Diceros bicornis minor: one gene and its partner. The protein of the gene in region 1 interacts with the protein of each later gene in a pairwise test. Links are inferred from orthologs where the notes say so. Each region holds a gene or a part of one and is shown on either strand. Other genes may lie near its edges.

Evidence for each region.
Region 2: the proteins of ERICH2 (region 1) and core histone macro-H2A.1 interact in binary tests that used the Homo sapiens proteins (3 or more experiments, as listed by UniProt). The two-hybrid records come from large-scale screens. The link is inferred for Diceros bicornis minor from reciprocal best matches to the Homo sapiens genes ERICH2 and MACROH2A1.

Annotation. Positions count from the first base shown.
Region 1 is NC_080749.1:52,232,894-52,240,254, forward strand, and holds the start of ERICH2 (glutamate-rich protein 2), read left to right. Parts: upstream 1-4,354; 5' UTR 4,355-4,376; intron 4,377-4,502; 5' UTR 4,503-4,548; intron 4,549-7,361.
Region 2 is NC_080740.1:54,404,663-54,412,318, reverse strand, and holds the start of core histone macro-H2A.1, read left to right. Parts: upstream 1-4,638; 5' UTR 4,639-4,740; intron 4,741-7,656. UniProt on the Homo sapiens protein: Variant histone H2A which replaces conventional H2A in a subset of nucleosomes where it represses transcription. Nucleosomes wrap and compact DNA into chromatin, limiting DNA accessibility to the cellular machineries which require DNA as a template.

The sequences.
Region 1 (7,361 bases):
CTACAATCACTTTAAATTAAGACACACAATTGGAGATAGTAACATATTATTGAAGTTCTGATGAATCAAAGAATCATGATGTAAAGCCCATGGAAATTAGTTATCTACGTTATTGGTTGAAAAGGGAAAATTGTGGAGCACAAATATGTCACTGTGGTAGTGTGCTGTCTCCAGCATTACTCAGAGAAGAGCGGAGAACGATGGGATTCGGGTTGCTCCCAGTGTGAACCCTGATGGGGTCTAGCCTGAACTGGCAGCCAACTTTCCCCTTCCCATCTTATTAAAGTGATTAAGTACAATCAACCTTTTTTTAAAAATTGCTGTTTCACATATATACTAGTATTTAAATTCATCCACATACCAAGAATTGGAAACAATCATCATTTACATGAGGCCTAAAATGACAATGTTTTGGATCCAGGCTCCCTCTACTGTCTCTGCAATAATAAACAAACATTTTATGGCACTCTCCTGACTAGATTCCCGACTAGATGAAAGTCAAAGCAAATACCATCTTGTGCAATAATAAAGGATATCCTTAGTATGATAATCAGGAAGTTCAATATTTGGAGAAAGTTGAAAAAATTATAAACTAGTTAATGAAATATTTACAAAGATAGAACCACATGAAGTTGTCATTATGACCGTTTTTTAATCCGGAAATGGCAATTTCATTTGGTTCAACCTTATATACGAACATTAATTGTCAAAGACTAGTAGGGTGTGTGTGTGTGTGTGTGTGTGTGTGTGTGTGTTGGGGGAGGGGGTTATTACTTTCAATAAATAATCTCTATTATGAAATTCCCTAAACACATTGGTTAATTTGCATTATGTTTCTTGACCAAACTCAACTACAGGACATGTTAAGTCCGGTGCCTTATAGGGAGGGATGTGTGTATAATAACTTGGGTTTAGAAGAAAGAAATCTGCCTTCAGGTTAAAAAGTGTGAAGATACAAAATGTTTCACACAGGAAGGTAAATGAAAGAAATGTAGAAAAGCTCTGTGTTTACAAGAGTAAAGCTGGAAATAAAATAGTTAACATTTTAACCCTGAGAGGAGGAAGTAGGGCCAATTTGCATAGACTTCAAACAATCTCACACTTTTGAGAAAACCTGCAAATCCTGGAAAGAATTAGAAGTAAAAGCCAAAGTCAACACACTTCAAATACCCTTGATGTTTCACAGTCACTAACGAGAAAGCATCTTTTGGTAAGTTCACACTTGGCACAAAATAAATATTAATTCTGTTGTTGGTAATTTTCCAAAAAGTTAATATTTTACAGTTCAGGATTTTATTTCCTAAGTTTGCCTTTGAAGCAGGAAAAATGCTTTTTGAAGTTATGTTTTCATAGTCCTAGAAATTCAGTCTAAAAATGAAGGATGCTATCGAAGATTTATGTACAAAGATGTTCACTGAAACCTTATATTTATAGTGACTGTTCACCACTTAAGTCTTATGCCTAGCATAGCACCTAGTATGTAGTAAGCACTCAATAAATATTCTTGAAAGAATTAATCACAGGAGAAAATTTGAAAATTTCCAAATTGGGGATGGTTAAATGATTATGGGTAAATTGTGACTTATTATATAATATTATATATAATTTTGATTATATGTAATTATTAAAAATGTTTTGAAGACATTGGGGAAATGTTAAGACACTGGAGAGAATGTTAAGCTAAACAGATGTTAACAATGTGTACACTATCTAATAAAAATTTTATAAAGTAAATATATATGTGCATACAAAAAGGCTAAAAGGAAAAATAAAATTATTGATTGAGGTGGTTTTAATTTTTTTCCTTGTATTTCCTCTGTACATTGCAAATTGTCTATCATGAGTGTGTGTTACTTTTATAATCAGAAAAACATTAAATGTTATTTATGATTTTTTATGATGCTCTGCTAACATTCAGATCTGTAATAAAAATTTATCCATTAAAAGTCATGGAGCTAAATAAAAGGTAGTTGTTGTGCAGAGATTCAATATTTGTACATATAATAGTGGCTTTTCCCCTTCACTTTGATAGAACAAACCTTCACTAGATACTTTTGGTAATTTATTCAGTGGCCTGAATGCAGAAGCCAGAGCTAAACTGTTCTCTACTTTTGAGTATTACACCAATAACAACTTGTGTACAAAAGTTATAGAGATAGGTGAATTATTTCTCAAGTTATACAAGCAAAGATGAAATGTAATGTTTTTTCATCAGAGAGAAATAAAATAACCATCATGGATTCAAATAGGCACTGGGCCAGGCTCTTTACCTAAATGATCTTCAATCCTTACAGCTACCCTGGTAGTAGGTACTTTTATTCATATACATATTATAGTAGAAGTAATAATAATAGCTGAGTTATTGATCAATTGTCACATGCCAGGCTCTGTGTCAGGGTCTTATTTTTCTCTCATTTCATGTTTTAAGCTATGGGGGCAAGTAGTGTATATTACTCTCACTTTTTACTTGAAGACCCTGAGGCCCGAGGTGGAAGCCAGATCTAACCACTCCTCCATGTGGAGAAATATTTTTATTCTCTATCATTAAATCATTTTTGCCCCTTCTTTCAAGAACAATAAACAAACATTGAAAACACTGCATTCTACAAATGGATTTGATCTTCTTTGGGGGGGTGGGGGTGGAGGGGTAAGAAGAGGAAGCTTAATCAGTTAGAGTTGAGGTTTTCTTACTTTCCTTGGAATAGGACAATGGGAATAGCCAGTCAGACATTACCCATTTATTGGTACTAAGCAAATTCATCAAAATGAATGTTTTCAAAGGTATTGGTAAAGAAATATAATGAATTTCCCTTTGCCTTGTTTAAACGAAAAGTCTTCAATCACACTTAAGACATCAGCTATGTAAGGGTGTTCCCATAATAGAGCAGGTAGTGGTTTGCCATGTCCTTATCAAACCAGGATGTATTTGTCAATGACTTCATTGAGTTCTTCAAAAAACTTCCATTCTGGCTTTTTTCCTTTACCTCTTTCCTACCATCCAGGTTCCAAGGAGATTTAGAGTGAATGTGGACAGATGATTAAGAGATTTTAAAAATAACTGAATCTCTGTATACTCTTAGTTCCTGAAATGGTCCAGCTGGTTCTATTTTTATAATAATAAAATTGCCATTTTTTTAAGTATTTTCTACATGTCAGAGCTTTATACATTTTATATCATTTGAAGCTCACAACCATCTTTCAAGGGCACCTAACCCCAGAGGTTAAATACCGATTATACTGCATATCATGTGGCTACTTTAGTGAAATTCGAATCCAGATATGATTCCAACTAACGGGCTTCCTTCAAAACACGTTGCCTAGCAACAAATCGATCCTAGTGATTTCCCTACATCCCAAGTGGAGAAAAACAACCAATTCCTTCCTAGACGCCAAGCTTGAGAACAATTAGAATTTTCTAATAGAAATGTTCCCCCACCCCCTTCTGTGACCAAAGCAGTTATTTAAGCAGTAAAACCTCCCATTGGCCAACGTCAATTTCATCCGGGACTTGGCCCCTGCTGGTAAGGAGAGGAGAATCCCTGGTTCTGATCACGCGAAGCTGACTTCTGGGGAAACTGGCGTCCAGAAACCCCCAGGAAAACCATAATCTTTTGGGGGCGACCTCAGGTTGGGGGACCAAGTCCCACAGGGGACATTTGTTCATCCACATCCAGGGACAACCCTCTCTCCCAATTCAAGTCTTCTCCTTTTACTCCACAAGTTTAAAGTTAACGAGGGCACCCCGCCATTTTCCCTCTCCTCCCTAATAATAGGATCAGGTATGGACAAAGATATTCCAAGCCCGCTCCCTTCTGCCCTTCTCACTGTAACCAGTGCGCGTGCGGACGTGCGTCCCCAGGTGTATGCACCCAATTCGCGGCCCGGATGGACCTCCAGAACCGCAGAGATCTCCGGGTCCCGAGTCTCTCGCCCCGCCCCTTTCGTGACTCCCCGAGTTTGCTCCGCCCCCGTCACACCCCCGCCCTGCCCCTCAGTCTTGTCCCAGGCTCGCCAGGCCCCACCCCGCCCCCTCAGCCCCGTCCCGGCCTTGTTCCGCCCCCTCGGCCCCGCCTCTCAGGCGTACCCCGGGGGGTCTCCCCGCCCCGCCGCGCTCCGTCTGCCTCGCGCGCTCCTCTGCTCTCAGGGAGCACCCAGCCCCTTCCTCGCCCCTCCGCGGCTTCCCGAGCTTGCCCCGCCCCCGCCCAGTCCATTCAGTGTTTCCCCTCGGCTGCTCCCGAGGCTCGGGCTGCGCTTGGTCTCGTCTCCATGCCGACGCGGCGTCTGTGGCTCCTCATTACGAGCCCCGCGCGCACTGCGAGCAGGGGTGGCCTTCGGTGTCTGCCCTTCCGAGGGTCGGCGTGAGAGGGCCACAGCGGGTAAGAGGCGCCGCAGTGACGGCCGGTCGGCTTCTCCCCATCCCCGCGTGCAGCCCGACCCAGCCCTCACCTCGGACCCCCGCTAGGCCCGGCGGCTGAACCCAAAAACCTCTCTGCCCTTTCCAGGTTCGGGCTCTGGGGCCCCACCGCCGTCGAGGCGGCGCGCGCGAAGGTAGGATCCGCGAGGCTGGTCGCGCTTGCCTTCCTCTTCTGACTGTAGTCGGGCACTGAGGAAGGGATGTTTCTGTCTACGTGGGTGTGAGTGATAACTGGGCAGTTCTGACAAGCGTGTCCACACCACCATTCTCTGACCTGCGGATTCGCACGCGCTCCCCCCCCCCCCAAAAACCCAATGAAAATAGCCACATTCCATCTCAGGGCTTCCCACTACTTCTCTCGGTTCTCGCCCCCCCCCCCCTTAAACCTTTCTCTTACTCTTTAACTTTTACTTTTCTTTGGAAACCGCTTAATGGCCAATAGGAGCAAGCACTCACTGGCTGTAGTTGAGACACCATTACTCGCTAGATATACCTTCTCGGCCATAAAAAATTTCGCTGGAATTTGGGAAATTATTTAACCTCCCCGGCCTTGTTTTCATTTTCTGTAAAATGAGGAGCTTGAACAACGAATCCCTTCTAAGGTCCAGTCTTCGGCCTCCTTTGAGATGAGGAAGTTGACATGAGATTTTCAAAAGCAAGATGTCGTGGTCTTTTGACTACTCAAACTACACTGCGCCCCTGTAGCGTTTAAATTAACACATGGAGTAATTATAAATTTATCATTTGGCTTCCCTGAGGATATAGGTGAATTGGATGTATCGGTTCTTACCCCAAAAGACCCTTGGAAGTTGCTTTTTAAAAATAAATCTGAAAAAGACCCATCCAGTCTCCATTGTGCACTTAAAACTGGCTTCCTTAGAGTTCCCCTTCAGCGCTGTCCTTGCTAGGCTGTCGGTAATAATAATAGTAATAGGAGGAGGAGGAGTTGTAGTAATTATAATTGTAGTAGGAGATAGGTGCTACCATTATTTATTATTAGCTATTTATATTAACTCTCACAGTAACTCTATGAGGTAGGCAGTATTTTTATCTTCGTTTTATAGTCGAGGAAAATGAATCATGGAGAGGTTAAGGAGCTTGCTCAAGGTCACGCAATTTGCTGGAATTTGAATAGGCAATCTGACTTCCGAGTCTGGGCTCTTAGCACTATATTATGCTGTAAAGGAAATATATAAAATTTATATGTAGTCGTTTTAAAATATAAATGTAGGTGATAGATGATCATTGAAACCATTTTTATATACATTTGAGACTTTGCAAGGAAATATTGCCCCTGCATCCTATTATGTTTCCCCACTAAGCTCCTCTAGGTTGGAGGATGGTGCTTAATCAGCTCCCTCTCTCCTCACCACAGTTGCAGGGCCTGAGCATGTAGCTGTCTATTTCTTAATTCATTCTTTGCCTATTAGAATATAAGGTAGCTTATAAAAACAAATAGTACAACAGGATAAAATAATTGCACAAGTGAGATGAAGAAAAAAATACGTCTTCCAATATTACAAGAGAAACCAAAAATGAGAATTTTGTGAAATCTGAATTTAAACGTTGGTAAATCATTTTATAAAAGATTTTTTTGAAGCCTATCGAATCCAAATAAAACCTATTTGGCCCTATTGGCTGGTGGTTAGTGAACACTTACCTAAAGAAATGGAGATATGAGATGTTTTACATTCTTTTTTTGGTACTAAGTCTTTACAATCTAGTGTGCATATTTCAAATTGAACTAATAACATTTTAAGTGCTCAATACCACATGTGGCTGGTGGCTACCATATTGGGCAGCGAAGCTCTAGTTTAATACATTCTTTTCCTTTGCTTTCTTATTTCCTTCCTTCCCATTCCACTCGTTCAACAAATATTTATGCACTAGACACTAGAGATTTTTTTTTAAGGTGGCATGAGTTTATCTGTTCTTTGTAACCCAAAAAACCAGCTGAACTAATTGGGCCGTTGACTGAGGTTTTTGGTTATAGAGGGAGTCGACTTTTCCTTAAAGCCTAGAATTATATCATGTAAAACTCAAGAATTACTGGGAGCCATGTTTTGCACCTAAGTGTAGAAAATCTGTCTTCAATGAGAGGGAAGAATGAGGCCCACATGTGGAAGAAGCTGAGACAAACAAGGAACAGGGATGTCCCACTCACCTCCTTAACACAGCTGTCTGTATCCACTGTGTCCTGACTTCCACACTGTTTGGGTATTCAACTCTTGGATTCTTTGAGCCAACAGTTCTCTTTTTTTGCCTATGCTAACTTGAGTGTGGTTTTTGCCACCAAGAGTCCAGACTCATATAGCTAAGAAGCCAAGAACCAAGCCCTTTCTTTTAGAAATAAGCCCATGATGCACCCCCACCCTGCTATGCCCGACCCCCAAAGTACATTTTTATTTACATAATACGTAGAATATTTTCAAACATATATAATTACATAATTATGCCTTTACAAATCATTTTGTCATGTACATTTTATATGCTTATTTAACCAGATAACATTCGTCTTCTGATTAATACTACCCATCTTTCTATGTGAGTCTTTCAGTATTTTTTTCTTAATAAGAATAAATCTATATCTGCTTTTCCCCAACTCTTTTCTCTGAATCATCCTTTCCAATTCTATGGGCCTTTCTTTTTATAAGATCATTCTAAACCAGGTAAGTTACTTTATATCATTCCAATGGTTTTATTCATTCAGTCAATATCTGAGTGCCTTTAAAGTGGTGTGGGAGCCACACTCATGAGTAAGAACCAGTTTCTGCTCTCCAGAAACTTCTGTCTTGGTTGTACAGTCATTCCCTCACTCTGTAGTTATGTGTCTACAATATTGCTTGTGTGCATTTCCTGGACTGATTTTTTTTTTCCCTCCACCCGCTTCTTAAATGTTGGTATTTCGCAGGATTCTGTCCTTGGCCTTGTCTTATTCTGCATGGGC
Region 2 (7,656 bases), on another chromosome or scaffold:
CTACATTGTAGTTAAGATGTGAGAAACTACTACTTTTTGAATTTTGATGTAGTGTCAAAGACGAACACCCAAAATTATCTGAAAAGGCTATTAAAATCATCTATTTTTCCCAAATACATATCTGTGTAAGGCTGGATTTTTTTTCACATACTTCAAACAAAACAACACATAGCAACTGATTGAATACAGGAGACATGAGAATTTAGCTAGCTTCTATGAAACCAGACATTAAAGAAATGTGTAAAATTGCAAAACAATGCCACTCTTTTCACTAAATTTTTTTGTTGTTTGGAGAATATAATTATTTTTTAAACAAATATGTTATTTATGTTAACATGTAACTTTCCATTTTTAAAATGTATCTTATTGGGGGCCGGCCCAGTGGCACAAGCAGTTAAGTGCGTGCGCTCTGCTGCGGCGGCCCGGGGTTCACCGGTTCGGATCCCGGGCACGCACCCACGCACTGCTTGGCAAGACATGCTGTGGCGGCGTCCCATATAAAATGGAGGAAGACGGGCACAGATGTTAGCCCCGGGCCAGTCTTCCTCAGCAAAAAAAAGAGGAGGATTGGCAGATGTTAGCACAGGGCTCATCTCCTCACACACACACACACAAAGTATCTTATTTATGAATAAAAATGAATAAATTAATAAATATTTAAAATTTATGTTTTAATTTCTAATAGAGCAATTGTTGATAGCTGTAACTCACACAAACAAAAGCTCTTTGCAGTCCTCAATAATTTAAGAGGATAAAGGGGGTCTGAACCCAAATAGTTTGAGAACTGCTGTTGTAGAATAACTACCTGGTTAAATGTTCATAAAGGACCATTAAGTTTAAAAAGCACGTGATAAGCACTAAACGCAGTAGGAACCTGAATATGTTCAATATTAAGTAGATATGGTTGCAAAGGCTGGAAGGCGAACAGTGGTTCTCTTCTAGTGGTGTACTTAGGGTGATTTTTATTTTTGGCACATTTTTATTTTCCAAGTTTTACGTGGTGAACATGCATTTATTTTGCAATTGGAAAAAAAACCTGAGGGCTAGCCTGGCGGCATAGTGGTTAAGTTTGCGCACTCTGCTTCGGTGGCCCGGGATTTGCAGGTTCGGATCCTGGATGCGGACCTACACACCACTCACCAAGCCATGCTATAGCGACGTCCCACATACAAAATAGAGGAAGACTGCCACAGATGTTAGCTCAGGGCCAATCTTCCTCACCAAAAAAAAAAAAAAAAAAGAAGCTGAGGAAGCCCCCTGAGCCAGATTGGGGAAGGGGACAGGTCACGCAGATGGAAGAACAGGGCATGCAAATTGCTGGAGAGAAAGAGGGTGGAGCCTTCTGGAGCGAGCTGGAGACAGGGCCTCTGCCTTGAACAACGCCAGGGGACAATATTTCTAGTGAGTTCTATGAGAATGGCACGCTGTGGAGGGGTGTAGGGGGTGGAGTTGGCACCAAGATCAGCTTTTGGAGGAGTGCAGACTCTAACCCAAGGACAGTGGTGCATGACCGAGTGGGGACAAAAAGATCCACTCTGAATTGGGAGGTGTGGGGAGGACGGATGCTGGGTGGAGAGGAAATGAAGCCCCCAGAGGGGCTCTTTTCAGGCCTGAACATGAAAGCTCTGGTCCCAGATGAACGTGGGTTTGAACCCCAGTGCCAGCCTACTTTCTCTGAGATCTCAGGCATTTTTCCTGGCTTCTTGAATCTACAGTGTCCTCATCTGTACAAAGGGGATAGAAACGTCCCAGAAACAGCCTGTCTGCAGAGCTGTTGTGAGGAGGAAATGATGGGATATACGTGATCTGGCAGATGGTGAGAGTGCAATAAGATGGAGAGCAAGAAACGGCCTTTTACCCGCTTCCCAGTCACCAGGCAAATCAACTGAGTCAGAAACCAATGCTGGGCTGGAGGTGAGGGAGTTACTTCTTGGCTTCCTAGAGTTGCAGATTGGGATCTATTGGACAATCATCCTCTGCATCTGGCCTTGGTCATCACTCAGGACCTGGGGAAGAAGCAGCCTCAGGTCTGACCACTACCAGGGCATCAGCAGGCTGCAAGCATCTCCCCCTCTCCACACAGCCTGGCCTTCCCCGCAGCCCAGCAGTTCTCTCTCGTTCAAGTTTCCAGGAGTACTGCTTATGTTTTGCACCAGGGCCTGGACAGTGTGGTAACACACCTAGAAAGTTTTCCTCTCTGGGAAGGAGCCTGGCACGACCCTGGCACACAGCAGGTGCACAGCAAGTGTTTGTTGAGTGAATAAATGGAGTCTGGCATCCTCCAGACTTGCCATGGCCCACAGAAACCTTGCGTGGTGGCTGGCCCCTGCGGAGCTGAGACTTGCCCAAGGACCCAGGGAGGGGCAGAGCAATGACATGAGGTAGTCTCTGCACCTTCCCTGACACCCCTCTGCAGCTTCCCTGGGGGATCCTTATGCAGCCAAAATACTTTGTTTTGGGACTCAAAGAATCATCATTTCTCCAGCCTCACCTCCTGTAACTCTCTCCCCTTTGCTCCTTCCACTCCAACCTCACACTCACTATTCCTTTTTTTTTAATTGAGATATTAGACACGTAACATTGTGTAAGTTTAAGGTGTACAACGTGTTGATTTGATACATTTATATATTGCAATACGATTACCACCTTACTGTTAGTTAACACTTACATCACATAATTTTCTTTTTTTTAAATTTAATTTTCTTTCTTATTGGGGAAACATTGGTTTATAACATTGTAAAAATTTCAGGTGTACATCATTATATTTTGCTTTCTGTATAGACTACATTGTGCTCCCCACTAAAAGTCTATTTATCATCTGTCACTGTACAAATGTGCCCCTTTACCACTTTAGTACTCATCAGCAGATGAATGGATACAGAAGATGTGGTGTACATATACACACACACACACACACACACACACACACAAAGGAATACTACTCAGCCCTAAAGAAAGATGAAAGACAAATATCATTTCTTTTTTGTGGTAAGAGCACACTCATTATTCCTTGACAATTTTGGAATGTCCAATTCCTGCCTCAGGGCCTTTGCACTTGCTGTTCCTCATGCTTAGAACACTCTCCCCCAGATATCCACGTGGTTTGCTCCCTCAATTCCTTCATGTCTTTGCTTAAATGTCACCTTCTCAGGGAGGCCTCTAAAATTTGAAACCCCAACCCATCTCACCCTCCCTATCCTCCTTCTCTGCCTTATTATTTTTCACAGTGTTTACACCATCTGACACATCATCTCTTTTGCCTATTGTCTTTCTTTCCCTACTCGACTGCAAACCCCAGGTGGGCGGGCATTTTTACCTGTTCGGTTCACTGCTTCATCTTTATCACCCAAATTGATGCATGGCACAAAGTAAGACCTCAGTACTTAATTGAAATGAATGCATGAATGGCATGCATTGGACACTGCTTTGCAAACTGTTACAGTTTGGTGGGTGTAAATCATCATCTGGAGGAGAAGAGGTTACCACCGCTGCTGTAGGGGGCAGCCTGAGGGCTGGGAGGGGTCTTTGAGGACTTCCATAATCGTCCCCCCAACACCTCCAGCAGCGGTACACTAAACCTCACATCAACTCTGCTGGGCGTGTATTGTTATCTAAATTTGGTCACAGCTGGGTGCTGAGGTGGCTTCCCCTTCCACGCTTTTGGCAGATGGAGAGGAGGAGAGTAGAGGGAAGGCTCCTATTTAAGTACTCCGAAGGGTCCGCTAACGCCTTCGGGAGAGAAAACAATTTAGCAATACAAAGACCGGCTTTGAGGTGGCCCTTCCTCTTTCTGCTTGTCCGCAGTTTCAAAAAAAGTGTGTGATGATAAAGAATCACTGTTTATATTAATAAATCCCCACTTGGGTCCAATAGAGAACGTTTGCTGAATCGAAGTAGCTAACGCTTCCATGCGCAAAGCAGGTGCAGCCTTCTGAGGGTCACTATGAAGAGCCCGAGGGGAGCCGGATGTGCAGCAGCTGGCCGTGGGGTCAAGTGTGATGGGGTTAGTATTTAGAGACCGCGGGAGGCTCTGAGGAGCGCGGGAGGTTTGCATTGGCTGGGGAGGGAAAAGTGCTTGCTGGTAACAGCAACTGTGCCTCCCTCCCTGGATCAATGGGAAGACTTCTAGGGATAAGGCAGCGAAAGGCCCGTGCTGAGGGCCAGGCACACGTAGGCGCTTAATCAGTGTCACTCGAGACACACAGGCTGGGACGCGTTCTGGAGGAGCGCCTCTGCCTGGGGCCCGACCCTTTCCAAGGACTTAGCTCAGGACGCGCCCCAGGCTCAGGGCCGGACCCTGTGTCCGGCGTCCACGTCCAGGCGGCGTGCCTGAGGGCGGAGGGCCAGACGCCAGGGCCTCAGGGCAGCCAGGGGACAGACTGACCGACGTCCAGGCGGCGGAGCGCCGAGGGCCGCCGCGCGCGCAACCGCGGGCTGGGGTCAAGGCCGGGGCGCCCGGGTGGCGCGGGAGGGGTGGCCGGACGCGCGGGGACGGGATGGGATGTGACGAGCGGCGCGCTGTGCATTGTGGGAATCCCGGGGCCGCGGCGACTGGTTCCAGTTCACTCAGCAGCGGAGCCGGGCGGAGGGGGCGAGCGCGCGGCGCGGGCGGGAAGCGAGGAGGCGGGCGGGCGGGAGCGCGGGCGGGCCAGCGAGGAGCGCGGAGAGAAAAGGCGCGAGCGGCCGAGAGGGCACGGGCCGGACACCTTGCTGCTGCCGCCGCCGTCGCCGAGCCGCCCCGTAAGTGCCGCGCGGGCCCCTCGCCGCGCGCCCCGTCCCCGCCGCCCGGGTCCGGCCGCCGCGCTCTTCCGGCCGCGGGTGCCTGGGAGCGGCCGGGCCTGGCGCGCACCGGGCGGCGCTCGGCCGGGCTCGGGCTGCAGCGCTCGGTGCGGCCGACGCCGGGGCCTCGCGCGCGCACGGCGCCCTCCCAAGGCCCCGCCCGGGCCGCGCGGGATTCCCTTTGGTTTTGTTCAAAAAGCAAACCCGGAAGCCAACTTCTCCTGGAACCGCGTCCCCCTGCCCGCGCCTGGGCGCTTTTGTGGGAAGGAGACAGTTCTGGCCCCTCCCCCGGCGTCCCTTCCCGGTCCGTGCGGGCCGGGCCGGAGGCCGGAGGAGGCCCCGCGGCGCTGGCTGGCCAGCCTGGGCCTGGGCGTCCAGGAGCTGCTGTGCCCAGAGTTGTACTTGGTGAGGCGGCCGCCGGCCCGCGAGTTGCCGGCCCCGGCACAATAAGTCGGGCCCGAGCCCCAGGTGGCCGTGGTGTAGAAGTCTGGCTCGGCATCTGCCGGGAGCGTAGGGTGGGGGACTGGGGGATACTCGCCGGACTGAAGCCAGGCAGGGGCGGGCAGGGGGCTATCCAGGGACTGGCTGGAGAGGGACCACGGGAACCCCCGCTGCTCTCGCTCCTCTCCTGATCGGCCTTTTGTTTGCTTTGTGGTTGGGAGTTTTTTTTTTAAGGTAACTCCGGAAGGCTGTAGGCTCCTGGGTGGAGGAGGCCAGGAGGGAAGAGACTCGCTGGGGGTGGGGAGGAGTGGGGAGGTGAGTGTGCAGGATGCTGCTGGCCGTGTCACCTGACAACAGGTGTGCAGGGTGGCGCGCCCCACCTCCACTCCTGCAGAGACCACGAATCACTCAAGGGTCTTGTCAATAGATTGCTTGGAAAGTCCTTTTAGACGAGATGTTAGGGAAAATATTCTTGAGTTTGAAAGTGCGAGATTTCTGTGCAAATAGCTGAGACAAACCTTGAATTCAACAGTTACAGTTACCAGGAAGTCCTGGTAAGGTTTTAATGATCCAATAAACAGCGTATAAGAATAGACAATTAGAGGGGCACTCCTGCTGGCTTCTCTTTTTCTTCCACCTTTGTGGTTTGAGGTTTTACCGTCGAAGAGGAGGGAAAGTGCTTTGTTCCAAGGCTCCCTGCTCCAGGAACTGGGAGATTTTTGAACAGCTGTAGGTTTGAGTGGGAGACTGTAGTTGCAAATTAGGTGGAGTCCACCTACTGCAGGCCGCCTTTAGGGTACTTGTCTGCTATTAGGAGTTGTTAGCTCTGAAATGGACACCTCATGCCTGCACTGAAATTAATACCCCTTGTACACAACTAACCAGGGTTGGGCCGCGACATCTCAGTCTTGCACGAGAGGCTCTCCAATAAGGATAGATGTGTTTTAAAATCTTTTTTGTTTAAACCCTCAAGACTTTAAAAGTTTCCCCCCTCTAGTTTTAAGAGGAAAGTAGGAAATTTCTCCAGTCTGTTATTTTGTTTTAATGTTACCACTGTTAATGCTAATCCTTAGATAAAGGCATTAAGGAGGAGGGAAGGGGTTAAAGTAAGTGAAAATTGTTTAGAATGAGCAAGGGATGGCTCGCATTTGGATAAATTTGAAGAGTTGTCGGGGACATCACACATGAGACTCTAATACACGACCGTAAGTCACTGGCTTGGTCTACACCAAATGTGCCAGGGTCAGGGAGTGGTGCACCTCAGTCTGCCATTTCTTCCGGCCCTGGAGACGGCAGAACTCCGGGAGAGCCCTCATCCCTTCCGCACGCAGAGGCTTGGAGTACGTGTATTCTGGGACTGCCTCTAATACCTTCAGAGCTAATGCTGCCCCAAGTCATTTAAAGGAGACTCAAATAAACAAAAACACAAACTGAAAACCCCAAGCTGACAAAACCCAACAAGAATCTGTATGTGGTGTTCGTCAGAATTGCAGCAGCCTCTTGGTCTCATTTGAGTGTGTCTTGGGTTTTTGACAGCCCCGTTGTTGGTACATAGGCTGGGAAGGAGCAGGGGTGAGTGGGGCCCGTACTTGTCCTTGGTCCTCCCTGGGTTCTGTAGGTTTAGGAGTACATTGGGCCCCACCTCAGCTCTCAAGAGTGAGCTCACGTGGGTCAACTCTTCATTCCAAAGAGTCGTATAGCTTGTTTGCTTGGATCAAGCCTGCCAGATGGGTGTCTTGCAGTCTTTTGATAAATATTTCCTGAGAATCAACTCTGGGTCAGGCACTGGGGACAGGACCATGATCAAGAAATGCCCAGTCCTTGTCCTTGGGAAGCTGATGTGAGAAGGAGAAATAGGCAAGCATCCGTTGCAAGGTCAGTGCAGGAGGTCAGAGTAGCTCCCATAGTAGCCCCTGGGACAGTAACCTGGCCAGGAGCAAGCCTTTACCAGGCACTGAAAGGCCACGTAGGAGTCAGCTGGGCAAAGGAGGGCAGGTGGGGACAAGTATTTGAGGCCTGGGGAACCACATGTGCAGAGTCTTAGAAAATGAGGATAGAGGTGAGAACTGCCAAAGGCTCAGGATGGCTGGATCCTAGAGGGGGGTCAAGTGAAGCTAGAGGGTCAAACAGGCCGAATCTCAGAGGATGCTGGTCAGCAACACTGAGGAATTTAGACTTCATCCTGAGAGCAGTCAGAAGCCGTTGAAGGCTCTGAGCCGGGGAGACACATGGTCAGATGTTCTTTATTCTTATTGGGAAGTCTTCATCTATTCAACGAATATTGAATGGCTTCTAGATACCAAGCCCTACCAGGGTCCTGCCCTTCTGAAGCTCGCATTTTATCTTTTCCTTTGATGGTCTTCTGTTGGAGTGGTTATCTCAGAGTTTGGCACAGCCTTTAATAGAGGAGGTGTGAAGGAAAGTTTTCTTGTGAAG